3 linked regions of the Stegostoma tigrinum genome follow. The protein of the gene in region 2 binds, or shares a complex with, the protein of the main gene of each other region. Links are inferred from orthologs where the notes say so. Each region holds a gene or a part of one and is shown on either strand. Other genes may lie near its edges. The genes, in order: rubcn, ras-related protein Rab-7a and pdzd8.

Region 1 (10,703 bases), on a different chromosome or scaffold from region 2:
CCGTCCCTGATCGATTGAAGGATTGATGCAGGAAAACATTTCAATCATACAACTTCACCACCTCCAGGGATTTGGAGACCAAGTCCTCCCTTTGCTTACTTGCACTTATAAACCCTCTGCTGTTGCGATGACAGGACACTCATGTCTCTAAAAGAAGACTCTCGTTGGTACTTCAAAGAACCATTGCAGACTACTTTGTACATTTATACCTCTTCCCAGTATTTCCTGATGGGCTTTCTGAAACAGATGTTCTGTTATGAGCTTGTTCCCTCCATATATTCAAGGAAACACATTATATCATAAGATAGCAAGGTGTAGAGCTGGATGAACACAGCAGGCCAAACAGCATCAGAGGAGCAAGAAAGCTGATGTTTCGGGTCTGGACCCTTTTCTGAAGAAGGGCCCAGACCCAAAACATCAGCTTCCATGCTCCTTTGATGCTGCTTGACCTGCTGTGTTCATCCAACTCGACACCTTGTTATCTCAGATTCTCCAGCATCAGCAGTTCCCACTGTCTCTGAACATATCATATCTGGTTTTAGCCTAAAGCTATGATACTCAGTGCCAATACCTAAGTCCTCAGTAATCCTGGAGTAGCTTCAGCTTTCCTCATACACATTACCAGTTTCAACTCCTCCACCATCCACTCCACCTTGGCTGGCCAGCCTTTCAACTTCATCCACCATGATCTGATGCCGGTGCTGTGGAGTTCTGCTAACTATGACAACAAACCCAAAGATCGTGAATCAGGGATTCTTTGTTTGACTGGCATCAGTCATCACAAACGTGAAGGGAGATTAGGGTTAATGAAGTAAGTATTTGCAGTATTTAGATGGAATGAAACCTGAGGTTTACTTTTGATAAAGAAACCTTTTGTCTGTCTGCTCCTCCTTCCCATGAGACCTCTTTTCCAGAACACACCTTTGATTTCCCCAAAAAGGAACTGTTGAACTCCTCCAGCTGTCTTGCTTCACTGTTACTGCCTACTGTTGGAGATCCTGGCATAACTCCTTCAGCTCCCCCTCTCCACACTTTCTCTTATTGTCACCACCTACTAGTGCAGACTTGCATTCAAAAAAAGTTGTATAGTTTTTGAAATTTTTCAAAGAATTTGCAAATCACTGGCTGGACCATCATTTATTGGCCATCCATACTTGACCTGGAAAATGTGGTGGTGTGCTATCTTCTTGAACCACTTTAGTGCTTGGGTGTAGGGACACCCACAGTGAGAGTAAGAAGGATCTTCCAGGATTTTGGCTCGTCAACAATGAAGCATGAGCAAGCAATGAAAGATGCATGCTTAAAATACACATTTAACTACATTTAAGATGTTCTGGAAAGTTATTAACTTACGATTCACATAACTTGACTTAGAAAAGCTGGTAATATATCACCATCTGCATCAAACCGAAACTAGGATAACCGTCATCACTATTTTAAAATCCAAACCCCGAAACTTGTTTACAATCAGACACTTTACATCATAATACAAAACATAAGTTATAGAGGACACCTGGAAAATGTGTTCAATTTTCAGCACCAATTTTTAGGAAGAACAGATTAGCTTTGAATGAAGTAAATTTACCTCATATTGCACTCCATTAGTTCAATTACGAGGAGAAATTACACAAACTAACGTTGTACTCCCTGTAGTTTAGAAGGCTGTGGGGTGATGTCACTAAATTTTTTGATATATTCAGGGGAATCTGTGGGGTAAATATATAAATTAATGTTGCTAGTTGGGGAGTCTAGGACAAGGAAACAGAGTCTAAAAATTGAAGCCGCACTGAATCATAGAATCCCTACATTGTGGTAACAGAGATTTGGCCCATCATGTCTGCTCTGAACCTCTGAAGAGCATCACTTCCAGATCCACCCGACCCTGACTCTATCCCTGTAACCCTGTATTTCCCATGGCTAATCCACTAGCCTACACATCCTTGGACACTTTGAGCAATTTAGCATGGTCAATCCAGCGTGGATAATCCACCTAAGGCGCACATCTTTTGGCTGTCGGAGGAAACTGGAGCACACAGAGAAAACCAACCCGTCACAAGGAGACTGTGCAAACTCCACACAGACAGTCACCTGAGGCTGGAGTTGAACCTTTATTCTTAGAACTGTGAGGCAGCAGTGCTAAGAAATGAGCCATCGATGTTTCAAGACTGAAGTTAGGAGAACTTCTACTCATGAACATTGAAGAAACTTGGAATTTTCTTTTGCAACACTTATTACAGAAATAACATTTTTATAGCATTCCTTAAGTAATATAACACCTCAAGTCCCTTCTCAGGATCATTATAAAACAAAATATGACACTTAGCCACATAATAAGATATTAGGTCAAATCACTAGAAATCTGGTCAAAAAAGTCAGCTTGGAGAGGGATAATGGGAACTGCAGATGCTGGAGAATCTAAGATAACAAAGTGTGGAGCTGGATGAACACAGCAGGCCAAGCAGAATCTTAGGAGCACAAAAGCTGATGTTTCGGGCCTAGAACCTTCTTCACAAAAGGGGGAGGGGGAGAGGGTTCTTAAATAAATAGGGAGAGAGGGGGAGGCAGATCGAAGATGGATAGACAAGAAGATAAGACAGACAAATTAAAGGGGCAGGGATGGAGCCAGTAGAGGTGAGTGTAGGTGGGGAGGTAGGGAGGGGTTAGGTCAGTCTGGGCAGGACGGACAGGTCAAGGGGGCGGGATGAGGTTAGTAGGTAGGAAATGGAGGTGTGGCTTGAGGTGGGAGGAGGGGATAGATGAGAGGAAGAACAGGTTAGGGAGGTGGAGACGAGCTGGGCTGGTTTTGGGAATGCATTCGTGGAAGGGGAGATTTTGAAGCTAATGAAATCCACTTTGATACCATTGGGCTGCATCTATGCACGAATAGTGATTTAATCACAGTTGTTGGAATATCCATGCCTTATCCATTCAGTTTCAAGAATAAGCAACATCGTCCAGAAAGTTTTTTTAAAATGTGAAGCATTGGAGAAAGAAACATATTTCCCCCATTATTGGAAGTGTGTGTGTTTGTGTGTGTGTATGATTTGGGTGACTTGGAGGGGTAACATTTCTATTTTCATGTTACGAATTGTAAGTGTTAACCAATTCTGTATCATCACTGAATTTGTTTTTAAGATAATTAACAAACAGAAACAAGGAAACTCACCAGACCTGGCAGCATCTGTGAAGAGAAACAGAGTTAACATTTAGAGTCCAGTGACCCTCCTTCAGAAGTAGAAGCAGCTAGGAAAAGGTGTTATTTATGATGATTACAGGGCTGGGGGAAGGAATGACTAAATGCATAGAGATAGAGCCCAGTGAGAGAGGGAATAAAGGGTGGGCAGAGAAAGGGATTGTTGATAGTAAGCCAAGGAAGATGAGAAGGTAGGTAAGTGATGATGTGAACTATGAGTAGATGAAAACGAATTGGCTGTGTTGGAAATAAATCTGGGGTTGCACAGATAGGTAATAAGAAGGAAGGTAGTGTTCATAGTCTGAAATTGTTAAATTTGACGTTGAATCCTGAAGGCTAAGATACCAAACAGAAGATGGTGTTGTTCTTTCAGTGTGGGCTGAACTTTGCCAGAGCACTGCAAGGGCCTGAAAAATAAAAGTTGGCATGGAATTGCATGGGAAGATGTGGGGCGGTGCTGGAGTGGACCTGCGTGTCCCAGAGCGAGTGGTCCCTGCAGGATGTTGACCAATGAGGGGAGGGGAATATGTGTCTGGTGGTGGCATCCTTCCAGGGTAGGCAAAAATGGCAGCTCTTGATCCTTTAGATGTGGAGTCAGATGGTAGTATCCCACTGGGTGAGGCATAAATGCTACCTTTTACCAGCTGCTGCTTGTTCTGAAAAAGGATCACTAGGCTCAAAATGTTTACTCTGTTTCTCTCCACAGACGTTCTCCAGCAATTTCTGTTTACACTTGCTTTAGATCTCCAGCATCTGCAATTGTTTTAGTCTATTCGATGGGTCTTATTGTTCAAAGTCCAATATAGAGAAAGGCTAACATTAGCTATTTTGGGAATTTGGTTAAATATTTTTATTTAATGTTGTGACTGTTGGAGTAGTGAGACAAGAATGACCGTGCACTCCTCCCCTCTCTGTCACAACATAAAAGTGGGAGTTTGTGACATCTAGTGCAGACTATGTTCAACTGGAAGTGGGTAGGAATACGAAGGATAAAGGGAAATACCAGTTTCTTGTGCACTATGTCAAAATAACATAGGCATTTGTTTAGACCTGTCTGGAGGTGGTTACTTTTTCTAATCTCGCAGGAATAAATCTTCCAAGTCAAGGTAATTAGAATGGGTGGACAATTTGAACTTAAAATTAAAAGCAAGGGCTGGAAAAGCACAAGTGTTTGAGATAATAGCACGACATTTGAAACTGGAAGAATGGCAAAGGAAAACATATAGCAGTTCTGTAGAGTTAATGAGAACTCATTTGCCAGTGAAAAAGGGTTGAATAGTAAGTAGAATTCGAATTGAAGGATATTTTGCATTTTTAAGGAAAGGAAAGTACATTTCAGAGAAGTTAAAAAATTAGTCGTAGAATTTAACATGAGGACAAAAGATATTGTTTGAAACTCAAGAATATAGACCCAGTTTCCACAATCTCTCATAAAGCAATCCACTGTTCCAAAGATTACTCTGGCTAACCTTTGTTGCCCTCCATTCATGGTAAGCATATATTTCCTTGGTTAAATTAACCAAAATGGTATATCATACTCCAAGTGAGGTCTCACAAAGGTTCTGTACAGCAAGATATCTTTTCTTCTATACATAAATTTGTTTGAAATTAAGACTGCCGTACGATTTGCCTCCATAATTACATGCACACCTGCATGCTAGATTTTAGTGACTCAAGGAAAAGGACACCCAGATCCTCTTGCACAGCACTTTCCAACCTCTCACCATTTAAAAACAATTCTGCCTTCTTTTTCTGCCAATGTTAATAAGTTACATTCCATCTATTCTGCAGTTGGCTGAAGACAGACATGTTACCCAGTGTACAAGTAAGCCCTCTGCTTCAGCAGTGTTACAGCTCAACTTCAACAATTTCACCTATTCCATTTTGATTACACCCTTACACAGGGAACAGCTGAACTGGATAGTATTTTATGTTCTATAAATTCAGAGAATCCCTACACTGTAGAAACAGGCCCTATGGCCCAACAAATCCACATCAAACCTCACAGCATCCCACCCAGGCTCATCCCCCATTACCTACCGTGGGAGTAAACCCACACAGACATGGGAAGAGATAATGGGAACTGCAGATGCTGGAGAATTCCAAGATAATAAAATGTGAGGCTGGATGAACACAGCAGGCCAAGCAGCATCTCGAAATCTCTGATGAAGGGTCTAGGCCCGAAACGTCAGCTTTTGTGCTCCTGAGATGCTGCTTGGCCTGCTGTGTTCATCCAGCCTCACATTTTATTATCTCAGACATGGGAAGAATGTGCAAACTCCACACAATCACCTGAGGGTGAAATTGAATCCAGGTCCCTGATGCTGTGAGGCAGCAGTGCTACCCACTGAGCCACACCATTCTGGCATTTGATAGAAAAAAAATAAGAACTATGGTAGGTTTGGATTTGACCGTTAATGGCTTGACTATTTCACACAAGGAACAGTTCTAGAATTCTCCCCTACTCAAGAGTGTGGACGGTAGCTAATCGAAAATTTCAAACCTTAGAGCAATAGCCTTGAACTATCAAAAACATCAGTCAAGAACTGAACGTGGATAAAAATCAGTTAAAGATGAGCCATAATTTATTTGGATGATGCAGCACATTCTTGCGGTTGAATGATTTTGCATTCTTCAGTTTGCCAATCAAGACATCTAGTTCAAGAGTTTTCGCTTTATTAATAGTCTCAGGCAGTTAAAAGTGAGTGATGCGCAGTTTATAGCCTACAGCTCAATGAATGTTTAAACCTATCTGTTAACGGCGTCCATATTAGCCCCGTCAGATACGAATGGCACACTTCATACAGCATGTTGGCCATGTTTGTGTCCGGAAGCCGGTGTCTAACACACAGCGAAACAGGTTCGCGCCAGTGGAAGGGAGAGGCGGAGCAGTTGCTGAAGCCAGCTGGTTGGTATCCTGAGCGGTTACCATGTGAGAGATTGGGCCTGAAGGCAAGGCGCTCTACACGCGTATCGGGGGACGGTATTAGCTGGTGTGCGGCGGGGTCCGATTCAGGATGAGGGACCGGCTGGTATCTGCTAGATGTTCAGGAAGTGGCATTAGCTGGTATCCGGTTGGAGGTGAGGTTCCGGCCGCGATCCGTGGAGGCGGCGTTTTATGTCAGCGCTGGAGGTGGGGCCTGGCACGAACTGCTTTCCGGGTCGGTTACTGGGGCGGTTCAGAGCGTGGTATCACGTGGTGTGTGTGTGTGTGTGTGTGTGTGTGAGAGAGAGGAGGCGCGGGAGGGAGTGGCCGCGGGAAAACAGCCTATGGGTCGCTGCTTGCGACATTGAGAGCTTCGGGGTGCGGTTCCGATGCGCTGTGACGGAATTTGAGAAGCCGCGACGCAGAAAATCGGCATCTCTGGGAATACCCAGAGAGTCGTCTGAGCTGGTGGTGACATGTTGTCAACATGGAGAGAGAATAATTGGCACCAGGACATGGAGAGCGCGGAGGAGGCAGAGTGCAGGTAATAGCCTGAGACTGCTGTGGCCAAACAGAGAAGGTTAAGAGGTGACTTAATCGAGACCTACAAGATGATCAGAGGATTAGATACAGTCGAGAGCGAGAGCCTTTTTCCTCGGATTGTGATGGCTAGCACGAGGGGACATAGCTTTAAATTGAGGGGTGATAGATATAGGACAGATGTCAGAGGTAGGTTCTTTACTCAGAGAGCAGTAAGGGCGTGGAATGTCCTGCCTGCAACAGTAGTAGACTCGCCAACTTTAAGGGCATTTAAATGGTCATTGGATAAACATATGGATAATATTGGAAAAATATAGGTTAGATGGGCTTCAGATTGGTTTCACAGATCGGCGCAACATGAGGGGCCGAAGGGCTGATACTGCATTGTAATGTTCTATGTTCTATCTCAGTGCCCTCGACTTGAGTTTCTTGTTAACTGGCAGCTCCTGACTACAGTTTGGGGTGGGGCTAACCTCTGCCTCTTTGATGACAACAAATCTTGTACAGGACTCTGGTGATACACTGTTGAAGACTGCCTAGTTAACAATTACAATTTATTTAAAAACTTACTTGTAATGATGGGGTGGAGGCTGCTGTAACGATAGGTATTTCTGAAAGGCATTACTAGGCTCCTGAAAGAATATGTCAGTTGTCTTGATGGACAAATTCACAGCACGTTAGTGACCTGATCTGCAAAGTGAGACTGAGTTTTTACAAATTGTGAGACTTGTGTGTATGAATGTAAAGGTATTTTAATTTTTAAGTGTTAGGTCAGTGAAGAATTTTTCTGTACGTGCGTAGTAAAAGTTGAAGGCATAAAGGCAGATAGATGTCTGTGATTTGAATCCTTTAAATTAGTACAGGGAGTAAGGACAGATGATTGTTCTTTCATATGGTTGATGGCAGGAGTATGCTAATGAAGGTGCTACAGCTCACCATTTTGCAGTCACGTTGCAACTCAAAACATGTATTCTGGATATGTCTAATTTGCAAAATGAGTGGTGCCCTCCACGAAAACTGCATCTTCATTTTCAGCACTGATCCCTTTACCTGTACTCGAGCTGTGTGTTTTTGTTTTTGATTAGCTTGAGATGTGGGCATCGCTGGCCAGCATTTATTATCCACCGCTAGTTGCCCTTGAAGGTGGTGATAAGCTGCCTCTTGAATTGTTGCAGCCCATGTGCTGTTGGTTGACCCACAATGGTCAGGGAGGGAATTCTGTTTTTTTTTAACCCAGTGACACTCAAGGAACACTGAAAAATTTCCAAATCAGAATGTGCTAAGAACCAAGACAAGTACAGCACAGGGACATGCCCTTTGGCCCTCCAAGCCTGTGCTGATCCAGATCCTCTAACTAAACCTGTCGCCTGTTTTCCAAGGATCTGTAGCCCTCTGCTCCCTGCCCATTCATGTATCTGTCTAGATACATGGCAACATGTTCCAGGCACCCACCACCCTCTGCATAAAGAACTTGCCATGCATATCTCCCTTAAATTTTTCCCCCCTCACCCTGAAATCGTGACCCCTAGTAATTGACTTCCCCACGCTGGGAAAAAGCTTCTTGCTATCCACCCTGTCTATACTTCTCATGATTTTATGGACCTCAATCAGGTTCCCCCCCACCCCAACCTCTGTCTTTCTAATGTAAATGATCCTAATCTACTCCACCTTTCCTCATAGCTAGCACCCTCCATACCAGGCAACATCCTGGAGAACCTCCTCTGCACCCTTTCCAAAGCATCCACATCCTTTTGGTAATGTAGCAACCAGAACTGTACGCAGTATTCCAAATGTCGTTGAACCAAAGCCCTATACAACTGTAACATGACCTGCCAACTCTTGTACTCAGTAGCCTGTCTGATGAATAAAATCACTAATGAGCGGCGGGTGGCTTGGAGAGGAACGTGCAGGCTCTACTTCTGCCCTGAGAAGGACAATATCGTGGCCCATATGTGGCAGTTGTTTTCCTCTTGAACAGATTTTCTTGCTTTTAAGTGTGATTGTTGATATTAGTATGCTGCTGTAAATGAAATGTTGATTTGGGTTCGAATGGAATAATTCAGGAGCATGAATTAAATATTTTCAGTTTTCTGCACCAGTTCTACGGACAGTTTTAATTGAACATTCAATTTTGAATTGAGCAAATTTGTAGTGCCGAGTTACTCATTGTACAATGCGTAGACTAATGCTAATAAAAACTGTAATAAGGCTGCCCTTTTTAGTAATAAGATATTTACAGTCAGTGAACTTTGGTGTAGTTTGTGCTCCATTTGGATTTACTTTCTGGTGGCGAAAGTGTTTTGCCTACTTTACTTGTTTCCAGTTTCTCTTCTGTTGTTTCTTTAGTTATTTTCGGGTCCTTTTGACAGAAGATACAGAATTTATTCCAGTCCCCTTATTTAGTTTTGCAACTGCATTATCGTGTCTCTGGCAGTATGATTTTTTTCTGCTTAGATTAGCACCTAAATATTGTTGGAGGATCATGGAGAGGAACCCCACATTTCCAGCACTTTGTGAAGCTGGTTTGTTCTAATTCTTTACTTTGGTACATGTCACCTTATTTGTAACAACTGATGTTGCTCTGTTCTGAAAATAACAAGTGGTGGAGATCATAGCAGGTCAGGCAGCATGAAGAGTCATCTGGACTTGAAATGTTTGCTTGTTTTCTCTCCACGAATGCTGCCTGACTTGATCTCCACTACATATTTGTTTTCAGTACAGATTCCAGCAGCTGCACTAATATGTTATTATGTGCTGTTCTTTTGAGTCCTTTCAAGTCCTACCTAGTCTACCCTGCTCCTGTCAGCTAAGTGCAGTCTATTTTTATTGAATCATTGTACTTGTCCAGATATCTTCCCTTGTGTTTTTTGCCTTTTAAGTAGCTTTTTTTAAAGAAAGGGCAGAACAGCGTATTTGGACAACTTTGTATAAAATGTGATCTAGTAACTTTGAGTTTGTGACCGACATTTCTTTGCAATGCTCAATTCATTTTTCTAACCACAGGAAATATAAAAGGTAATTTTCTCTAGCTGAAGTATGTGTTAGTCTTAAAATAATTTATATAGCTGGCGCAAAGGCATGCACATTATTGCCATGTTCTTAAATGGCTGACTGCTTCCCTGGTACAGTTTTTTTTCTTCAGAGTTTGAACTTACTGAAGCCAGAGTGGCTCAGAACCACTCAGCCCTTTCTTGTATAATCTGCAGCTGTTTCTGTTGCTTGTTCTGCTGATTTCCCCAACTGCTTGCATGATTGGTCACACTTCCTTATTATACAGTAAGAATTCAGTTTTTGTATGCCCTCAGAACAATCCTCTCCCTTGCGTAACACGGTCAGCAGTGTACCCTTGAGTCTGATCTACTTTATTTGCATATTATGTACTGTCACTTAACAATATTGTGCAGAAACAGAAATCAGATTTCCTTGTGCGCAGTCAAAGCTGCCTTAACTTTCTACTGTGTCTCGATTTCAAGGTTATCGCTTGAACCTCCATTGCGAGTTGAACATCATTTTGGATGAGCCAAACGACATCTGTTTTGACAAGGGCCTTCACGTTTTTTTTTCTCTAATAGTATATTTCCTTTGCATCTACTTCCTTGTCTAATCTTCATCTTTTCAGTTAATGTTGACTCCTATGATGTAATTGGCTGATGCTGACTTTCTCTTGCACTCACCTCACAGGTCTCCCTGCTTCCACTCTGAATTGTAATTAATTCAGGGTGTTATAACCTGCATCTATCACTACTGAAATCTTTGTATTGTGATAATCTCTGTATTTGTGATACTTTCCTGTGATTCTGTACTCTTTGGACTTTTAATTTGGGAATATTTGCCCTTATTCTTGGAAATCCTTGATAGCCTCATTATCATATGTCAGCATTCAGGCCTATGTTACTGCTTATATACTTCATTCCTCCATCACTTATGTGCTTTTTCATGCATCAGGTTATTGCTTTTTGAATTCTCTTTCAAAATCTTAATGTCCCAGTCTCTCTATCTCTGCTTTAAAACTCTTGTTAAACAAAAGCTTGTATTGTCCATAAT
Region 2 (11,215 bases):
CTGGAAGCAACAAGGAAACAGGATGAAGTCAGTTCCATGACAGTTGCTCTAGAGGCCAGCTGAATCATACTGGATACCCAAGTGATGAGTTATTGTGATCTTCATAGCAGTTAATTCCACTAATTCTCACCTGCACTTGCTCCCTCAACCACATTTCACTCAAGCCTTTCTACATCAGTCCTCATGAATGATATCATTTGAAGTGGCAAGCAACTGAGAAATCTAACAGTTCAAACGTTTTTTAGTAGTCTGCCCTCCTCTGAGGGAGATGCTCTAGATCAGTGTTCATGTTCAACCAGTCCTACTGATATCATACACAGTTGATTCACTTTAAAAGTGAAATTTTAGACTGCATTACCTTCCTTCTAATGGGTTAGAGGGCATCAAAGTGTGGAGCTGGATGAACAGAGGCCAAGCAGCATCAAGGACCACAAAAGCCAACATTTTGGGTCTAGACTGATTGTGGGGGGTGGGGTGTGGGGTGGAAGGGTTCTGAAATAAATAAGGGGAGGTGGATCACAGATGATAGAGAAGATAGTTGGACAGGAGACCAACAAGTTAAAAGGGGTGGGGGTGGTGCCTGTAGAGGTGCGTGCAGGTGGGGAAGGTAGGGAGGGGATAGGTCAGTCTGGGGAAGACAGACAGGTCAACAGGGTGGGATGAGGCTAGTAGGTAGGAAGTGGCAATTCAGCTCAAGGTGGGAGGAGAGACACGGGGGGGGGGGGGGGAGGAAGAACAGGTTAGGGAGACAGGGGAGATTGAAGCTTGTGAAATCCACATACCATTGGGCTGCAGGGTTCCCAAACAGAATGAGCTGCTGTTCCTGCAACCAAGTGGCATTGTTGTAGCACTGCAGCAGGCCCAGGATGGACATGTTGTTGGGGACTGCTTTGCAGAACATGTGCTCAGGTTTACAATAAACCACTGCACCTCCTGGTCATGAGCTATTTCAACACCAGCACATGCGCACTCTCTCCCACCCCCCCCCCCCCCACCATGTCTGCTTGGTTCCCCCAATGTAGAGGCAGCCACACCGGGTACAGCAGATGCAGTATATCACATTGGTGGATGTGCAGGTGAACTTCTGCTTGATGTTGAAAAGGGGCCTGGGATTGTGGGGGGGGGGGGGGTGGCAAGTGTAGCATTTCTTGTGGTTGCAGGAGGAAGTGCCAGGTGTGGTGGGGCTAGAGGGGAGTGTGGACCTGACAAGGGAGTCACAGACAGTGGTCCCCCTGAAAAACAGATCAGAGTAGGGATGGATGAATGTCTTTGGTGCTGGGGGTCAACTGCAGATGGCAGAAGTGGAGGATGATGTGTTGGATTTGGAGCTTGGTGGGGTGGTACATGAGGACAAGGGTGATTCTCTTTTGGCAGTTATTGCAGGGACAGGGTGTGGTGGGGGGATGAGTTACAGGAAACGTGGTCAACAGTGTTAGAGACTACTGCAAGGGGAGGGGGGGTTGCAGTCCTTAAAGGGATCAGGTGTACAGGAGTGGAATGCCTCATCCTGGGAGCAGATGTGGCAGAGGTTTAGGAATTGGGAAAGGGATGGAATTTTTACAGGAAGGTGGTGTATTCTAGGTAGCTGTGGAAGTCAGTGTGCTTGAAATGGATATCAGTTTCTAGGTGATGCCTGAAATGGAGACATAGGTCCAGGAAGATTTTGGGGGGGGGGGGGAAGAAGAGAAGAGAAGGATCAATGTGTTGGAGATGGCCCAGGTGAACTTAAGGTTGGGGTGGAAGGTGTTGGTGAAGTGGATGAACTGTTTGAGCTCCTCAAGGCACAAGGCAGCACCAATGCAGGCAGTCAGTCAGTGTAATGGAGGATGAAGTGGGGTTTAGGGCTAGTGTAGGTACAGAAGAGGGATTGTTCCACATAACCTACAAAGAGGCAGGCATAGCTTGGGCCCATGTGGGTACCCATGGCCACCCCCTTTGTCTGTAGGGGGTGGGAGGAATCAAGAAGTTGAGGGGAGGACAAGTTTGACTAGATGGCGGGGGGGGGGGGGGGAAGAAGGAGGAGGAGAGGAGACTGGTCAGGCCTGTGGGACAGGAAGCAGAGGGCCTTCAGGCCATCTGCATGGGGAATGCCAGTGTACAGGGACTGGACATCCATGGTGAAAGTCAGGTATCCAACTCACTTTCTCATGAAGGGTCTAGGCCCAAAACATCAGTTTGTGCTCCTCAGCCTGCTGTGTTCATCCAGCTCTACACCTTGTCATCTTGTCGTCTCCAGCATCTGCAGTTCCCATTACTGCACTTTCAATATTACAGCTCATTAAGTCCCATGTTGCTCCCTGACCTAAACATTCCAATAACAAAAAGGACCCAGTTCTGAAAAACCCACCAGTAAGCTGAGCAATTGGTCCCTAACTAAAAACACCCTGCCACTAGATTACACAACCTCAAACTTGAGGAAACATTATTCCATAATCTCTTCACAGAAGAGATCCCAGGCAGAGCAGCAATACAGTTACACTTAGTAAACCATACACTTAATCACTGACAATTTCTACATTGGAAAAAGAATCTGAGTAGGTCTAAAGTATTTAGATTGAAAAAGACAAGCTAGCACATGTAAAAAGGAGGAGTCATTTTATCATGTCATAGGATGCAGCACCACATATGCCCAAAGGGGGCAGTTCACAAGAAAACACCCTTGGCAACATCTGAAGTTTATATAAATAAAGTGTTCATGTCTGTTTTTCAGGAGTGCAATGACAAGTCATGTGTTTCATCAGCTGTAAGAATCACGAGGAGCAGGTTTCTTGGACTTCGAGAAAAGCAACAATTTACAAACTCAACCACCCACCACCTCTCTCCCCCAACCCCCCCATTGGACAGAAACTACATCATGATACCTGTTTCACAACAATGCAGTTCACAGTTAGATCATTTGGCTGTCCATCATACAGACAGCTCAGGCAAGTCGCATTTTTAAATGCGCGTTGACGAGAAACTAGATCAAAATAAGACACTACAACTGGAGTGGTGCTGTGGCATTAAGCCTCGTTTGCTCTAGTTAGGAAAGTATTACTGAAGAAACAAGCGTCTTAGAAACCCTATTTTACTCGCAAACAAAAATCAAATCACTCGATTTATTACAGAGCTTCCTGAACAACAAGCCTTGAAACTGGCAAACAATGCCACAACATACTTTTATCTGCAACATTAAATAGAAACATGAAAATTTTAGCGATATTAAAAGTGAAACCAGCTCAAAGAGCTTAGTCACCCCGAAGACTAGAGACAAAGGAGCCAGGTTTGAAGTTTCCACAGGCTCTCCACATATACAACACAGCAGCGACGGCTCAAAACAAGCGTCACTTGTCGTTGGAAGGGGGGGTTAATAGCGTTCTCGAAAGAGCCCAGACAGCTACGTGAAAATCTAGTGTTAGCCCTAGCTTTAGGGAAAGCCGCTCACAACAATATAAAAGATGCATCCCACTGAAATTAAAAAATCCACACAAAATCTAAGCGGAAAAATGCGAAGCCAGCATTTAAAAAACACATTTGAAGAGAACTGAAAGCAAGTGTAACACGTACACCGTGTCATTCAGTAATTATACTGCGTTTTGCGCTGCACAGGTTATTAAATTAGAAAGAGAAAGGAGGGGAACAACTCCCCAGCGGGATGCTAATGTATATTTGATGTAGCACAGATGCTACTTCGCCAGGACTGCCAGGGCCTGAAGGGGTGCGAGTTCCTGTCACTCGCAGGGGTGTTGCCAAGGGGCCCGGGGGCAGTTGCTAGGGCTCACCGCTTTCCCCACACGCTGGGGCATCAAGCACGGGGGGTGTCGTTGCTAGGAAGAGCCCGGGGACGGTTGCTAGGGAAGGGTGCGCGCAGGGCCGGGAGCGCGGCCGCTGGGCGGACCCTGGGCCCTGTGTGTCTCTCTCCGAGATCGAGGCCTCCGTTGTTTCTCTCCTTCCTCCTCTCCCAAAAGCGCTTTACACCCGCGGGCAGAGCGGCCTACCAGTACCCGGCACCGAGTCAGACTCACCTGAAAGGGCAAGGGAGGTTGAGAAAAGTCAGCTGCGCGGCCTACTGCCGGTCTTGCTCGGTAAGTCACTGGCTTGGCTGGGCCGGGCCGCTCCTAGCTGTCGAAGCTTTGCCTCCGACTCCCCGCTTATCACCCGCACCCTGCGTCTGATGTCACCGCGTATTACGTTTCGGCGTATGGCGTCACCCCCGCAGGACCGCCCGCTGCGTGACTGCCATGTGGGGGGTGGGGGCGGGTTCGAGTACGACCAACCTTGCCGGGTCCTAGCGCCTGCCAAACGCGGGACACGTTACTGTTGAGGGGGAGGCTGGGGAGTCGAGTGTGATCTTAAGACAGGTCTTAAGGATTTAAACCATTGAAACGGGCTGGGGAGTGTTGATAGTAAAACAGAGATTTGTGGATGCTAAAGATCCGAAACAGAAACAGTAAGTGTTGGAGAAACTCAGCTGTTCTGGCAGCATTGGAGTCCAGAGAACGTTTTTCAGAACTGAAGTTGCTGAGTTTCTCCAGCAATATCTGTAATTGTTCCAGACTTCCATCATCCGTGGTTCTTTGTTGCATTTTAGGACCTTGATGACCTTAGACAGTTTGGGAGTTAAATTCACACTGATTAGTGCAACACAAAGCAGCTGTCCAGCCAACTGAGCTGAGTGCTGGAGAACCTCAACAGGGCTGGCAGCACTTTTGGAGAGAGAAACGGTGTTAACATTTCAAACCTAGTATGATTTCTTCAGAACTAAAGTAACATTCAAGGTTACAGGCCAAGTGCTGAAAAATGGGATTAGAATTGATTGGTGTTTGATGACCAGTGTGGACGAAATGGGCCCAAGGGCCTCTATCGGTGCTGTCAAAACGCCATTATTCTAGGTTCAGCAAACGGGAAGGCATACGGTATGCTGACCTCCATGGATGAGGATTTTGGTTCAGAAGTACGAATGACTTACAGGGCCTACGTGAGACCACATCTGGAGTATTGAATGCAGTTGTGTCTCCATAACTACTAAAGAATAGCGGGAATGCGCAAAAGGTTCACCAGGCTGATACCAGGGTTAGCAAGTCTGTCCTGTGAGGAGAGATGACTCAACTAGGCCTGTTGTCACTGCAGTTTAGAAAAATGAGAGGGAATCTGATTGCTAAAATTCTAACAGGGCTAGAAAGACCAGATGCAGGGAGAATGTTTCCCCTGTTTGGGGAGTCTAGAACTACAAGCACAGTTTGGGAGTGAGATGGGGAAAAATTTCTTCACTCAAAGAATGGTCAGCCTGTGGAATTTTCTACCACAGAATGCTTTCGAGGCGAATTCAGTGAATATTTCAAGAAAGAGATGGATACATTTTTAGATTTTAAATGCTTCAAAGGATGTGGGGAGAAAGCAGGAACATGGTATTTAGGATCAGCCATGATCATATTAAATGGCAGAGCAGACTTGAAGGGCTGAATGGCTTACTCCTGCTCCTCGTGACCATGCTTTTATCCATCCCTCCCACCCTGGTTATAATCTCTTCCAAGCTTTTCTGTAAGGCAGAAGATACAGAAGTTTAAACACATGTACCAACAGGTTTATGAAAAGCTTCTTCCCTGTTGCTATTTGGCTGCTGCACAGACCTCTCAAGTTTCACATCTAATGTTAATCTTGCTTTTGTACACTTCCTGTGCAACCATAACTGTGTACACCTCCGTGTATTCAATCTCCCTATGATCTGTATGTCTTTGTATGTTATGATCTGCCAGTTCTGCATGCAAAGCAAAACTTCTCACTGTACTTAGGTACATGTGACAGCAATAAATCAGATCGAAGGTTACAGTTGGTGTGTGGAAGAGGGATAAGAAGTGGGACTGGCTAAGGTAATGTAAGGAGAAGCAGGCTTAGAGGGGGATTTGTGAAAAATGCTTTTCACTGAGAGCATGTAGATATCTGGAACTCACTAATGGTCCTGGGCGAAAACCAGAAAAAGGGATTTAGCTGGCTGGCTCCTTTCCCACTTATATCACCTCAAAAGAGACTTCATTGGCTGTAAGTTTTTTTGAGTACTTTAGTGGATGTGAAAGGTGCTGTTTGTTAGGATGTATAAGTTTGTGAATGATTAGAATTGGAATATGGACATGCATGGACATTTCTGGATTACAAAGGATTTATAATGTGACTATTTAGAACTAGGAAGGAAAAGAGCCAACGGAGGCAATGATTCAGCAAAGAACTGCGGACACTAGGGATGTGAAACATACTCAGAAAATGCTGGAGAAACTCAGCAGGCCTGGTGGCATCTTTGATGAGAGAAACAGAGTTAATGTTTCAAATCCAGCGAATCTCCTTCAGCATCTGGGAAAGTGTTACTTATTTTGATGACAGGGCTTGAGTGAGGCTGGCGGGTTCGGCGTGAGCAAGTTGGAAGGAGTGATCGGAGATAATGGGAACTGAAGCCGCAAAACAATCCGACCCCAACACCAAAGACATTTTTCCATCCCCACCCTTGTCTGCCTTCCGGAGAGACCACTCTCTCCATGACTCCCTTGTTCGCTCCACACTGCCCTCCAACCCCACCACACCCGGCACCTTCCCCTGCAACCACAGGAAGTGCTACACTTGCCCCCACACCTCCCCCCTCACCCCTATCCCAGGCCCCAAGATGACATTCCACATTAAGCAGAGGTTTACCTGCACATCTGCCAATGTGTTATACTGTATCCGCTGTACCCGGTGTGGCTTCCTCTACATTGGGGAAACCAAGCAGAGGCTTGGAGACCGCTTTGCAGAACACCTCCGCTCGGTTCGCAACAAACAACTGCACCTCCCAGTCACGAACCATTTCCACTCCCCCTCCCATTCTTTAGATGACATGTCCATCACGGGCCTCCTGCAGTGCCACAATGATGCCACCCGAAGGTTGCAGGAACAGCAACTCATATTCAGCTTGGGAACCCTGCAGCCCAATGGTATCAATGTGGACTTCACCAGCTTCAAAATCTCCCCTTCCCCCACTTCATCCCAAAACTAGCCCAGCTCGTCCCCTCCCCCCACTGCATCCCAAAACCAGACCAGCTTGTCCCCGCCTCCCTAACCTGTTCTTCCTCTCACCTATCCCCTCCTCCCACTTCAAGCCGCACCTCCATTTCCTACTTACTAACCTCATCCCGCCCCCTCGACCTGTCCATCCTCCCCGGACTGACCTACCCCCTCCCTACCTCCCCACCTATACTCTCCTCTCCACCTATCTTCTCCTCTATCCATCTTCAATCCACCTCCCCCTCTCTCCCTATTTATTTCAGAATCCTCTCCCCATCCCCCATCACAAGGAAGAGGTATTAGAAATCCTTCAGAGGGTGAAGATAGATAAGTCCCCTGGGCCGGATGAGATTTATCCTCAGATCCTCTGGGAAGCCAGGGAGGAGATTGCTGAGCCTTTGGCATTGAACTTTAACTCGTGATTGTCTACAGGACTAGTGCCAGATGACTGGAGGATAGCAAATGTGGTTCCCCTGTTCAAGAAGGGGAGTAGAGACAACCCTGGTAATTATAGACCAGTGAGCCTTACGTCAGTTGTTGGTAAAGTGTTGGAAAAGGTTATAAGGGATTGGATTTATAATCATCTAGAAAAGAATAAACTGATTAGGGATAATCAGCACGCTTTTGTGAAGGGAAGGTCGTGCCTCACAAACCTTATTGACTTCTTTGAGAAGGTGACCAAACAGGTAGATGAGATTAAACCGGTTGATGTGACGTACATGGATTTCAGCAAGGCATTCAATAAGGTTCCCCACAATAGGCTATTGTGCAAAATGCGGAGGAATGGAATTGTGGGAGATATAGCAGTTTGGATCAGAAATTGGCTTGCTGAAAGAAGACAGAGGGTAGTAGTTGATGGGAAATGTTCATCCTGGAGATCAGTTACTAGTGGTGTACCACAAGGGTCGGTGTTGGGTCCACTGCTGTTTGTCATTTTTATAAATGACCTGGATGAGGGCGTAGAAGGATGGGTTAATAAATTTGCAGACGACACTAAGGTCGGTGGAGTTGTGGATAGTGACGAAGGATGCTGTAGGTTGCAGAGAGACATAGATAAGCTGCAGAGCTGGGCTGAGAGGTGGCAAATGGAGTTTAATGCAGACAAGTGTGAGGTGATGCACTTTGGTAGGAGTAACCGGAAGGCAAAGTACAGGGCTAATAGTAAGATTCTTGGTGGTGTAGATGAGCAGAGAGATCTCGGTGTCCATGTAGACAGATCCTTGAAAGTTGCCACCCAGGGTGACAGGGCTGTTAAGAAGGCATACAGTGTTTTAGCTTTTATTAATAGAGGGATCGAGTTCCGGAACCAAGAGGTTATGGGAGGGGGAGTGGAAATGGTTCGCAACTGGGAGGTGCAATTGTTTGTTGCGAACCGAGCGGAGGTGTTCTGCACAGCGGTCCCCAAGCCTCCGCTTGGTTTCCCCAATGTAGAGGAGCTGTACAAAACTCTGGTGCAGCCGCACTTGGAGTATTGTGTACAGTTCTGGTCACCGCATTATAAGAAGGATGTGGAAGCTTTGGAAAGGGTGCAGAGGAGATTTACTAGGATGTTGCCTGGTATGGAGGGAAGGTCTTAGGAGGAAAGGCTGAGGGACTTGAGGCTGTTTTCATTAGAGAGAAGAAGGTTGAGAGGTGACTTAATTGAAACATATAAAATAATCAGAGGGTTAGATAGCGTGGATAGGGAGAGCCCTATTCCCAGGATGGTGACAGCGAGCACAAGGGGGCATAGCTTTAATTTGAGGGGTGAAAGATATAGGACAGATGTCAGAGGTAGTTTCTTTACTCAGAGAGTAGTAAGGGAATGGAACGCTTTGCCTGCAACGGTAGTAGATTCGCCATCTTTAGGTACATTTAAGTCGTCATTGGATAAGCATATGGACGTACATGGAATAGTGTAGGCTAGATGGGCTTGTGATCGGTATGACAGGTCGGCACAACATCGAGGGCCGAAGGGCCTGTACTGTGCTGTAATGTTCCATGTTCTATGTTCTATCCCCCTCTCTGATGAAGGGTCTAGGCCCAAAATGTCAGCTTTTGTGCTCCTAAGATGCTCCACACTTTGTTACCTTGGAAGGAATGATCGGATAGGTGGAAACAGAGTCCTGAGAGAGATAGAAAGAGAGAAAAAGTTAGGCACTCAACAAGATTGTTGACATGAAACCCCAAGAAGAAGATTTGCTGCTGCTGATTATTTGAAAATGGGTTGGCTATGTTGAAAGCAGCCCATGTGATGACAGGGCTGGGGGTGTGGGGGCGGGGCTGGTGGTAAAGGACATTGAAGACAGTGCTCAGGCCCTAAAATTATTGAATTTCTTACTGAGACCTGAAGGCTACAGGGTCCCCATGCGGAAATTGAGATGTTGTCCTTCTAGTTTGTGCTGAGCTTAGCTGGGGCACTGCAGCAAGCCCGGGACAGCGATGTTGGCCAGTGAACAGGGTGGTGTGTTAAAGTGGCAGGCACCTGGAAGCTTGGATAGATTTTTATGGACAGAATTTGGGTGTTTTGCAAAGTGGTTGCCGAGTCTACATTTCATCTCCCCAGTGTAGAGAAGACCACACTGTGAGCAGCGAATACAGGAGACCAGATAGTGTGAACTGCAGGTGCTGCTTCACCTGGAAGGTGTGTCTGGGGCCTCGGATAGTAGGAGGGAGGAGGTAAATGGACAGACTTTACACCTTTTGCGATTGCAGGGGAAGGTGCAATGGGGCTGGAGGAAGATGTTGGGAATGGATGAGGAGTGGACAAGGGTCCCTGCGGAACAATGACAAAGGAGGGGAGGGGAATATGTGTCTGGTCGAGACATCCTACTGGAGGTGATGGAAATAGCACATAACAAACCTTTGGATGGGGAGGTTGGTGGGGTGGTGACCCCAGGGGGACCCTAACGATGTCGCGGGAGGGAAGAGAAAGGGGTGAGGGCAGTTGTGCAGGAGATGGGTTGGACACAGCTGAGGGGACCTGTTAACTACGGGTGAGGGGGAGTCACAGGAACATGGGAATTAGGAACAGCAGTAGGTAACTGAGCCTTTCAAACCCACTCCACCATTTAACCATAATCATGGCCGATCTTGTCCTGACCTCGACTCCACTTTCCTGCCTGGTCCCCCCTTTTCAACAGAAACATAACTATTTCTTTCTCAAATCTAATTCCACCTCCACTGCACTCTGGTGGAGTGAGTTCCACAGATTCTCAACTCTCTGAGAGAAGTAGTTCCTCCTGATCTCAGTTCTGAGCAAACCTCCTCTCGCCCTATTTCTATGACCTCTTATTATAGACAGTTTCACAAGGGGAACATGTGTTGATAAACCCCCTTCCAGCATTTTATATCCCTCAATAAGATCCCCCACCCACCCCCCACCCATTCTTCTAAACTCTAACAAGTATGAGGCCAAGCTGTTCAACCACTCCTTGTATGACAGCCCTTTCATCCCTGGAATCAACTTGGTGACCCTCCTCAGAACTGGCTTCAGTGTCACCACACCCTTCCTTGGGTAAGGAGGCATCCTCGGAAAAAGATGGACATTTCTGAGGCACCCTGCGGAAGGTGGCATCGTCAGAACAGCAGGAAATGGAATAACCAGGAGACTGTGATCTCTTTGCTGTTTACAAACAGCATACTTTTCATTTTCAAACATCCAATGTTTTCTGCTGATCGCCAGCTCTGCGATGGAAAGTGCGCGTCGCAGTGTATTTTGAAAGGAAGAAGTGTCAAGATTTCTCCAACGTCTTTCACAACCTGAGGTTGCCCCAAAACACTTCACAGTGCGGTCACTATTGTAGAAGATCAACATTAAGTTAGTGCACAGCATGCTACCACCAGCAGCAATGAAGTCACTGATTATTGGCTGGGTTCAGGAGTTTGGGTGAGGGGTGCTGCTGTTTTGGTTACATATACAAGGGACCACTTGCTATGTTAGCCCACACACTGCCACTTGGTCCCTTTCTATACATCTCGTGAGACTGAGCAACTTCCCTCTGTGCACAGGGAATTACATCATTAGGTTTGTGGCTTCCTCATATTTTTCTGATTTGATTCTTTCTAGTTTTCTCTGCAATGGAGCTACTTTTCACTCACTTGCTGGCCTCCCCCATCAATGAGGATGGGCAGGCCCATGGAGCCACATCTTCTGTCCCTCGGCCATTGCTCAAGTATGATGTTAAACAGAGATCCTGCCTTCCCAAACAGGTGAAAGTAAAAAATC
Region 3 (10,245 bases), on a different chromosome or scaffold from region 2:
ATGGAGAGTTTTAGTTATAAAAATAGGCTGGAACTTTTCTCACTGCAGCATAGGAGGTTGAGGGGTGATCTTGTAGAGGTTTATAAAGTCATAAGGGGTATAGATAAAGTTAATTGCTTTTTCCCCTAGAGTGGAGGAGTTATTAACTAGGGAACATATTTTTAATGCGAGAGGAGAACATTTTAAAAAGGACACGAGGGGGCAACTTTTTCACGTAGAGAGTGTTTCATGTGTGGAATGAACTGCCAGAGGAAGTGGTGGATGCAGGTACAATTGCAACGTTTAAAAGACATTTGGATACAGACACGAATAGAAAAGATTTGGAGGGATATGGGCCAAATACAGACAGGTGGGATAGTTTGGTTTGGGAAACTTGGCTTGCGTGGCCTAGGATCACAGAGTCATACAGCACAAACCCTTTGGTCCAACCAGTCCATGCTGAACATAATCTTAAACTAAAGTAGTTGGACTGAAGGCTTTGTTTCCATGCTGTATGACTCCATGAAATCTGTTTATGTTATCTTCACAAATAAACATACATACTTATTTAAAGACACCCTCGTTCATATTGTTTCTACTGTTTAAAATGATCATTGTGTAAAACTGCAGTTTTTCAACCTGGGAAAAAGGGCTTCAGAACAAAATGCTCAAATATAATTAAACATTTTACTTCAATAGTAAATTAAAAATATGCACTAATGTCATTGCTAATGCAAATAAATCAAAGGAGTTTGTCTCTGAAGATACCACCAGACTATTGGAAATTTCAGTGGATGGCACATGATATTGTTGCTGACATGAGCAAACATCTGATGATACAGACCAAAGATATGTCAGGATTAATAAAATAGGAAGTACATGAAATGAGTGAGAGATAACAAAAGCCATTGACCACCCCTTTCCCAAAATTGATTCTGTAGTGATTGCAATAAGGTCAGCCAAGTGGACCTCATAGAATATGAGTTTCATGATTGGGGTCGTTAAGCTGGTGCAATCAGGGAGCCCTGGCAGGGGTCCTGCCCTCTCTTAGAGCCAGCTCTAAGCTAGCTTGGTCAGTGGCACGTACTATGTATGTGTAAATAAAGGATGACTCGGTGACAGGGTATTGGCCTTTGTGGAGTTATTTCACGTTCCTTTTGCTGAATACATTTCCAAAGGTACTGAATGCAATCTGTCTGTTTAATAAATCATTGCCATGATTACATGCATTCTATAAAAATCTACTTTTCATGGTAAAATAATATTTAAATAATATCACCTCAAATTTTTTGTCAGACATTACCATATAAGAATGTTGCAATAACACTTTCACAATTTATTTTAACACAAACTGCATCCAAATGAACAAAATGGCTTGCTGGAAATTATCTGGAGAAGAGAGCTCCCGTTAGAGGATCTTACATTTGATCAACAAAGTTTGATTATAATTTACTGAGCGGTATCCATATTATTAATAGGACAAATGCAATCCAATGGCAAAACAGAACTTTTGCATGAGTGTATTATTTAAACCTAAGTTGAGTAAGAATATACAGGACCCAAATAATTTTGCCAGCTCTATATCATATATATATAATATACATAACTTCTTTCCACAAAGTAAAGTAGCAGCTGAAAAATAAGTTGTTCTGATTGAAGTACTTGAACATTAAAAGCTGCAGAGTCACACCGTGATGCACTAAGTATGGATCACAGACATTTTTCTTTTTTTTTAAAGAGAAGCAGAAATAAACAACTCCTCAAAAGAAGGTGTTTCAATTTTGTAATATGCCAGTCTTCATACAATTTCACCAACTGCACATGACACTAAGAAATGTTTGCTGGCACAGAATGGCTAAAGACCCTAACAACATTTGGCCAGCTTGCTGTCCCCCTAGATAAGCTTTTCCAGTTCAGCTAAAGCAGTGGTATCCATCCAACAGGGTGAATGTTTTTCTTTGTTATTGCTTGAAGAGAAAGTGGGTGTCACTGGCCAGGTCAGCATTATTGTCCATTTCTAATTGTACTGGGGTGTGAGCTGCTTTCTTGAACTGCTGAAGCTCTTGGTATGTTAGTCCACAAATAGCAGGAAATATGCAATTCAGTCAATTCCTGCTCGATCAGTCTACTTTCCATTATCAGTAATGTGTGGGAAGTCTTGTCAACAGTGTCATCAAACAACACTAGCACCATTACTACCTGCTTGCTGGTGCTCAGTCTGAGTTCCACCAGGACTACTTGTTTCCTGGCCTCATTAGAACTTGGTCCAAACACAGACAAAATAAGTGAACTCCAGAAATGAGGTGAGGTGAGTGGGATTGCCCTTGACATCAATGCAGTCTTTGACTTAGTGTGGCTCCAAGGCTGCCCAGCAAAACAAAGCCAATGAGAATCAGGGGATAAATTCTCTACTGGCTTAGTAGTATCTAGCACAATGTGAGATGGTCAGCATTGTTAAAGGTCAATCGTCTCAGTCCCAGGTTATCACTGCAGGAGCTCCACAGGGTGGTGTCTAAGCCTAAATATCTTCAGCTGCCTCATCAATAATCTGTCCTCCATCATGAGGTTAGAAGTAGGAATGTTTGTTGATAATTACAGAACTTTCAGCACCATTTATGCCTCCTCAGGTATTGAAGCAGTTTGGGTTCATGTTTACTGGACAACATTCAGGCTTTCACTGATGAGTGACAAGTAACATTTGTGCCACAGAGCTACTAGGCAATGGCCGTTTTGAAAAAGAGACAATCTAGTCATCTCACAATGACATTTAATCAATCCCCCACTAACAACAGCTTGGAGAATGTAAATTGATCAGTTATATAAATACTATGACTACTATAGCTGTTCAAAGGCTGGTGAACACATCTCCTGAATCCCAAGCATGTCCTCCATATTTAACTCAAGAGCATGATGAAATACTTCCCATGTGTCAGGACGAGTGCATTTCCAACAACACTCAAGAAACTTGACACTATCCAGGACAAGGCAAACCACTGTCTAAAGCATTGAGATACAGAAGCACCAGAAAAATTGGCAGCATTACATACATATTAGGGGAGGCGATGGCCCAGTGGTATTATCGCTGGACTGTTAATCCAGAGACCCAAATAATGTTCTGGGAGTTTGGGTTCGAATCTCACCATGGCAGATGGTGAAATTTGAATTCAATAAATATCTGGAATTAAGAGTCTAATGATGACCATTGTCATCCATTGTCCATTGTTGGAAAATCCCATGGGGTTCACTAATGTATTTTAGGGAAGGAAACTGCCATTCTTACTTGGTCTGACTCCAGACCCACAGCAAAGTGGTTGACTCTTAACTACTCTCTGGGATGGGCAATAAATGCTGCCTTGCTAGCAATGCCCTCATCCCACGAATAAATAAAGGATATACAAGATGCACTACAATAGCATATTTCAACCTGTATTCCCCTGCCGCCTATGGCCTCTATGATCTCGGAGATAAAGGGCTGCAATTTGTAAGTTGCCCTCCAAACCACCAATTGTCCTGACTTTGAATTACATTGCCATTCTTTCAATGATGCTCAGCTAAAATCCTGGGACTTCCTTTGTAAGAGCACTGAGGGTATACCCAATGTCTTCCCACCACAGGCTGCTATGATTTACTACCTGCTTCTCGGGGCAATTAGGGATGGGTAACAAATGCTAGTCTAGCCACTGATGCCCTATATCCCGTGACTGAATAAAAAAAGTTACCATTTGTTTGATAACCTGATTAAAGATGCAGTTCATATAGCCTCCCTATAATCATCTCTTTTGCCACTCGATAATAATCGCGCACCAGAACACAGGTTGAACACACCAAAGTTAAAAGAAACTGAACTGGCTGCAGTTCCAAGAAAATCGTGTTTATGTTTTGGGATGTCACTGCGTAGACCCTAGATGATTCAGAACCGTTGCAAGTGCGTTTATCCAGTGGCTAGCACGTCATATTCCAAACTTAAGAAAGAAACGCATTTTTGAAAATTTAAATTGAAGCGCCGGGGCGTCAATTGAAATGCAGGTGTAAGCAGAGAGCTTTCCGAAAAAAAAGCCGTCTCACATAGTAAAATAAAATTAAAAGCAGAAACTGCTGGAGGAACTCGGCGGGTCTAGCAACATCTGCAGAAAGAGAAAAACAGAGACAACGTTTCGAATCCGATATGACACTGCAGATGCTGCCAGAACTGCTGAATTTTGTCAGCACTTTTTGTTTTCGTTTCAGATTTCCAGCATTTTACTCTTATGTTAACATAAACTTATAACAATAAACAGTGCAGATTTAAAATGCTGGGGTCTTTCCCTTTGCTCTCATCAACCTCATAAAAGTGCATTCTGTAATCGCTTTTTGTGCTGCAACTTGCAAGTCAGCTGGAGATTGTCATCTGGGAGTCACTGTCGAAAAGGCTAGTGGCGGGGGAGGGAGCTGCAACGTTTACAGCGGCAGAGATAGAGCTTATTCACATGTGGCCATATTAGAAAGCCGCATTCCCGGCGAAGGGAAGTGGGGAAAACATTGCTGCTTTCCCGATTCGGGACTGGCCCCAAACTCAACGAGATTCCGAAATACTATTCGAGGTGCTGGGAACTTCCGTTTACCTTTTGAGTAAAATGCCCATGTTATTGTTAAAGAATTAGGTTGATTTATTGGTCGGGAGAAGTTGATTGAGAACAAAAGTCATTTTAAACAAATTATCAATCATGGGAAAGAGAAAGATGTTCATTTTATTGTTAAAGAAATGTTGATTGGGAATAGAAGTAAGTTTTACCATGTTCTGCTATGGTAAAGACAGAAAGAAATACAGGGATAATGGGAACTGCAAAACGAAATACAGGGCTCCGCTTTGCTGATGATATTCCGAGTGGGTCACCAAAGCAAGGGGGAAAGGGAAGTGGTTTTTGCCTTGAGTTGGAGAAGCTGGTGGGCGGTCCGGCCCGAACAAGGGAGCATTGGCACGCGCGCGCGCGCGCGCACACACACACACACACACACTCTCTCGCACAGGGGAACCTGCGGCGGGGAACGTGGTTTTGCGGCTGCGGCGGGGGCGCGCTGCGTGTGCACGCTGTACGGGGGAAGGAGGAAGAGTGGGGAAGAAGCACCAGCAGCTCATCTCATTTGTATTGCCGGGGATGGGCCATGTAAACACGGAGCAGTGAGAACATCAGCAGGAGGACCCAGAGAGAGAAAAGAACATGGTCCCGAGGTGAAGAAGGAATCTCTCTCTCTTCACCATGATTTATTTAATGCTGCTGTCAGCTCTGGCCGGAGCCCTGTGTGTCCTCCTGCTGCAGATTTTATTGCTGTATCGGAACAAGCCCGAGCCGGTGCCCCGGCATGTGCAGTACGTCAAGCCGGTGGTCGAGCCCTCGCTCAAGGACTACCTGAGTAGCGGGAAGGAACCTCCGGCCGAGAGCTGCCACTTTCTCAACGCCATCTTCTTGTTTCTGTTCCGGGAGCTGAGGGACACCCCGATCGTCCGGCACTGGCTGACCAAGAAGATCAAGGTTGAGTTTGAGGAGTTGCTGCAGACCAAGACGGCGGGCCGCCTGCTCGAGGGCCTCAGCCTGCGCGACATCTCCCTGGGCAACGCGCTGCCCGTCTTCAAGAGCGCGCGCCTGCTGCAGCCGGTCGTGGGCCCCAATCCCGGCCCAGGCCCAGGCCCCGGCTCCGGCTCCGGCTCCCTGGAGGAGGAGGCCGCTGGAGGTGCCGCTGCCGCCGCCGCCGGGGGGATACCCGAGGAGCTCAACTTCGAGCTGGAGCTCGAGTACAACGGCGGCTTCCACCTGGCCATCGACGTGGACCTGGTCTTCGGCAAGTCGGCTTACCTCTTCGTCAAGATGAGGAGGGTGGTGGGCCGCCTCAGGCTGCAGTTCACCCGCCGCCCTTTCACTCACTGGTCCTTCGCCTTCATGGACGAACCTTTCATCGACTTCGAGGTCAAGTCGCAGTTCGAGGGTCGGCCCATGCCCCAGCTCACTACCATCATTGTCAACCAGCTCAAGAGAGTCATCAAGCGCAAACATACTTTACCCAACTACAAAATCAGGTATAGTCACAGTCAGCGACAGATGGCTTAAACTGTGTTCTTTGTGTCTGTTTGTGAGTGGTTGTTTGGGGGTGTGTGGGTGGCGGAGATGGCGGTGAGGTACGGTGTGGTATTATCCTAGCTGCAACTTTCTGCAATACCCAAATCAGAATTAATGGAGTCCTTACTGCATCATGCTGCTTGCGCCCCTTAGTCATCTCTTGGCACAATCTGTAAGTTACAAAAGGTATTTTTACCAGGCTGCTGTGTTATGGGGTTTAAAAGGGAAACATTCGTGAGACGGAAGTATCTCTGGCAAGTCCAGCATGTCTTACCCGTGCCCATGGGAGCCACTTTCGTGATCCAGTGCAATCAACACAGAATAGGTATGCCCACAGTGTTGTTAGAAAGACAGTTGCAGGCCACTAACCCAGTGACCACAGTGGAAACCAGAACATGTGCAGAAACCTATGTGGACGCTGGGAGAACGTGCAAACTCCACACCGACAGTCACCTAAGGCTGGAATCGAACCTAGGGCCCTGGCGCTGTGAAACAGCCGTGCTTATCACTGCACTCAATGATATTTTGATTCTTTGGGATTTTGACATCATTACATCATTTGTTGTTCACAAGTGCGCTTCAGAGGGTAGTTAACCGTCAATCATATTGCTTTGGATCAAAACTCACATGTTTACCAGACTTGGGAAGGACATTAGGATTTCCTTTACTAAATGATTGAGAGTTAGATGGAGTTTGTACTATTAGTTTTATAGTCACCATTATTAAGACCAGATTTTAATTCCAAATTTTATGAATTATATTTAAATTCCACCAGTTTCCATTAGCCTGAGTCTCTTGATTACTAGTTGACTGACATTATCGCTGCACTGCTGTTTTTTCAGTCGAGCTTCTTGATATTGAGGGGTTGCTCAAAATGAAGGAATCCAAATGCACCTCAATAATAAGGCAACCTTTTCCATTGCTGTGTATTATGACTCATGGCCATCTCTATAGTGATGTCATGTTTTGCTGTGTAACTTGTATATTATCGGAAATGTTGTTAACTGCAGTTCGCAGGTTGCTATTACCATCAGCTTCTCTGTCCACTTGATTCATTATAGTCAGGGGAGCTTTATCGGAAAAAGTTCCAGTTCAGGCACTCAAAATGCTGCATCTTTGAAGTTAATATTACGTGAGTGAGGCAGACCAGGTGCAGGTTGAAATAGATTACTTTATTATACTTGTCTAAGCACTGTGACAACTTAGGGCTGGAGAGGTGGGAGGAGAGGCAGCTGGAGTGTTTTGTTTGTCTTATCATTTGTCTGAACTGTTGTAGGTTAGCTCATTTGGCTGGCTTGTTATGCAGCATGATTCCAACAGTACGAGTTCAATTTCCCTACCGTCGAAGGTTGCCATTAAGACCCTGCCTTTTCAATCTTGCCTGAGGCATGGTAACCTTTGGTGTCTCTCTCTCTCTCTCTCTCTTCTCCCCCCCCCGCCCCCCAAATGAGAGCAGCCATGTCCTCTGGAGCGATGCTGACTTTACCATTACAGTTCATCTGAATACTACACCACTGAATTGCAATAAACAAAGTAAAAAGGATGCAGGATTATATTGCTTAAATGGGATTGAGTTTAACTCCTCTCTAGGTAGGTTGAATCTGTGGCTTGTCCTAAATAGATTCTGTTGTTGTAGACACTTCTGATGTCCAGGGCATGAAGGACGTGTTCTGATGTTAGATACACTAAAGGGAAGAGGAATGCTGCTGATCCTCGCTGTGAAGCTTCAGAGCTGCAAAAATCCATTTAAAGTAGGACCCTTTAGCCTTGAAATTGATATGGGGACAGCTTATACTTTGAGAGAAGGTAAATCTGAAACAACGCTGTCAGAGAAAAGAATCAAACATAATTTCATGGTTGTGAAGGGCATCTTTAGTGCAGACATCAAGAAGTAATTCTTTACTATAGATAACTGGGAAAGGATGCCAAAATCGTTGCAGCCAGAAGTTATTAACAAATGATTAGATGGAAGGTTTAGATCAAATAATTTGAAGGGGACTTCAGCTGGTGCAGTTTGTTTCATTCTAAACATGCCTGAATGCAGCACAAAAGTTCTTTATTTGATAAATGGTATAACTGAAGGCATTATTGCTAAGACACAAAGGTAGTTGGAGGGTGGGTTGTTTTGAGGAAGCGGGCAGGCTGCAAAAGGACTAGGCAGGCTAGGAGAGTGGGCAGAGAAGTGGCAGTTGGAATACAGTGTGGGAAAGTGTGAGGCCATTCATCTTGCTCGGAAGAATATAGGCATAGACTATTTTCAAAATGGGGAAAGGCTTCAGAAATCTGGAGCACAAAGGGAGTTTGGAATTCTAGTTCAGGATTGTCTTAAAATTAACATGCAGGCTTAGTTGGCAGTTAGGAAGGCAAATGCAATGTTAGCATTCATTTCAAGAGGGCCAGAATACAAGAGCAGGGATGTACTGCTGATACTGCATGAAGATTTATTCAGACTGCATTTGGAATATTGTGAACAGTTTTGGGCCCCATATTTAAAAAAGGACGTGCTGGCCTTGGAGGGGGTCAGAGGAATTTAATAAGATTGATCCTGGGATGAAGAGCTTGTCATTTGAGGGGTGGTTGAGGATGCTGGGTTCTGTACTTGATGGAGTTTAGAATGATGAGGCAGTGTCTGATTTGAAACTTACCGAATACTTAGAGACTTGGATAAAGTGAACATGGAGACGGTGTTTCCACAAGTCGGAGAGACTAAGATCCGAGGACATAGCCTAGGAGTTAAGGGATTACCCTTTAGAACTGAGGAAGAAATTCTTTTGTCAGAGGGTGGTGAGTCCGTGGAACTCATTGCCTCAGAAGACTTTGGAGGCCAAGTTATTGAGTGTGTTTAAGACAGAGGTAGATAGATCCTTGAATTGTAAGGGGATCAAGGGTTATTGGGAGAAGGCAGGAAAATGGTGTTGAAAAACACGCCAGCCATGATCAAGTGGCAGAGAAGTTTCAATTGGCCGAATGGCCTAACTCCGCTCCCATTCCTGTTTGTCTACTGGTATCCTGACACTCTTTCAATTCAACCACCTATGGGGACTGATTGGATAGTGGAATAAGTACTATTATCGAGCTGAGAGCCAGCCTAGACTGAATCTAGTGTTCCCACAAAAGGTGAGTTAGTCAAACCTAAAATAGTGAAATACTAAACAACTTGGTAATTTATAATTTTTTTTAATGTATATTATGCGCTGTTTATTTGGACATAACCGTTCTATAACAAAACCATCCCTGCACCTGCATGCTTCTATCACGAGAGATATAAAACAGGGATTCTTTTTCTATTTAGACCTGTGCTATTACTAATGCACCCCAAGGGGAATCCACCTTGTCTTGACTTGCAAAGGGTATAGCTCTGGGAGATGAATTGCTTCTCAATAACGTGAAGGCGACAAATGATTGGTTCTTGAAATGGATTTTTTAAAAAATCACATGGATGTATTTGAGTGTCTACTGACAGGTCATTGCTGAGATTCATTGATTGAAAATGTAAGATTTTCAAGAACAAGCAAATGTTTGATTTTGATATTTAAGTTCAAAATGTAAGCTATTTGTTTCCATATAAAATGTAAACACTTTGTGTGGGAGGGGAGTGGTCTTTGACAGGAGTGCTAAATGTGAAAAAGCAAACCAATGTCCCCTTTATAAAAAAACAGAAATTGCAGGAAAATCTCCATGTGTGGCGAGAAATCAGAAGATTACACTCTGCTCAATGTTCCTTTCAAGGAAATCAGTTTGTATGTAAAGTAGGTTGTTGATTCGCCTTCAGTCATTTTGTATTCATGCTTCAGAGATTTCACAATTTGTGATAGCTGTATCGAACATTTACCTTTTTGTTAGCTTTTAATTGCTCCAGCCTTTGCTTATAAAGCTTCTAGAGCAGTTAAAATTTGCCCACTCCCAGTCTATTATTCCAATGAGAATGAATTGTGTTCTCTTTCTTATATATTCAAAAGTCTTAATCCTGAAACCATATTAATTCTATTCCTACTGCTTCTCGTGTAATTTCAAAGAATTAGCCTAGTAATGTTATTGTGTATGCGCTTCACCAGTTCTTCACTGAGTGTCCATTTGCTTTCCTTGAATGTTTGTTTACCTTGTAGTTTCTCATAAATATGTAGTGTTCTGTTTGTTCGGGCAACTGTTCTTGTACAATGTGACAAAATGCTTA

What was found.
Region 1: the proteins of ras-related protein Rab-7a (region 2) and rubcn are in contact, whole or in part, in a crystal structure (PDB 6WCW), measured with the Homo sapiens proteins. The link is inferred for Stegostoma tigrinum from reciprocal best matches to the Homo sapiens genes RAB7A and RUBCN. Residues at the interface, in NP_004628.4 of Homo sapiens: Ile41, Gly42, Ala43, Asp44, Trp62, Gln71, Ser72, Leu73, Gly74, Val75, Ala76, Phe77, Arg79, Ser101, Asp104, Glu105, Ile108, Gln109, Ser111; in NP_055502.1 of Homo sapiens: His818, Asn821, Met822, Lys824, Thr825, Arg827, Leu883, Gln885, Ala886, Lys887, Gly888, Phe889, Ile890, Glu892, Gln895, Glu897, Ile900, Pro903, Cys915, Lys916, Arg931, Arg934, Arg938.
Region 3: the proteins of ras-related protein Rab-7a (region 2) and pdzd8 are in contact, whole or in part, in a crystal structure (PDB 7F6J), measured with the Homo sapiens proteins. The link is inferred for Stegostoma tigrinum from reciprocal best matches to the Homo sapiens genes RAB7A and PDZD8. Residues at the interface, in NP_004628.4 of Homo sapiens: Lys10, Leu14, Asp16, Ser17, Lys38, Ile41, Gly42, Ala43, Asp44, Phe45, Gln60, Trp62, Gly66, Glu68, Arg69, Phe70, Gln71, Ser72, Leu73, Gly74, Val75, Ala76, Phe77, Tyr78, Arg79, Thr98, Ser101, Trp102, Glu105, Phe106; in NP_776152.1 of Homo sapiens: Ile999, Lys1000, Leu1001, Val1002, Arg1003, Lys1004, Glu1005, Gly1007, Leu1008, Asp1009, Asp1010, Phe1013, Ile1014, Lys1017, Gln1044, Leu1051, Asn1054, Asn1055, Val1058, Leu1077, Leu1084, Gln1085, Thr1088, Ile1092.

What each region holds. Positions count from the first base shown.
Region 1 is NC_081367.1:48,820,238-48,830,940, forward strand, and holds the start of rubcn (run domain Beclin-1-interacting and cysteine-rich domain-containing protein), read left to right. Parts: upstream 1-6,426; 5' UTR 6,427-6,595; coding exon 6,596-6,663; intron 6,664-10,703.
Region 2 is NC_081364.1:4,088,201-4,099,415, forward strand, and holds the start of ras-related protein Rab-7a, read right to left. Parts: upstream 4,172-11,215; 5' UTR 4,005-4,171; intron 1-4,004.
Region 3 is NC_081373.1:19,477,525-19,487,769, forward strand, and holds the start of pdzd8 (PDZ domain-containing protein 8), read left to right. Parts: upstream 1-5,051; 5' UTR 5,052-5,216; coding exon 5,217-6,031; intron 6,032-10,245. UniProt on the Homo sapiens protein: Molecular tethering protein that connects endoplasmic reticulum and mitochondria membranes. PDZD8-dependent endoplasmic reticulum-mitochondria membrane tethering is essential for endoplasmic reticulum-mitochondria Ca(2+) transfer.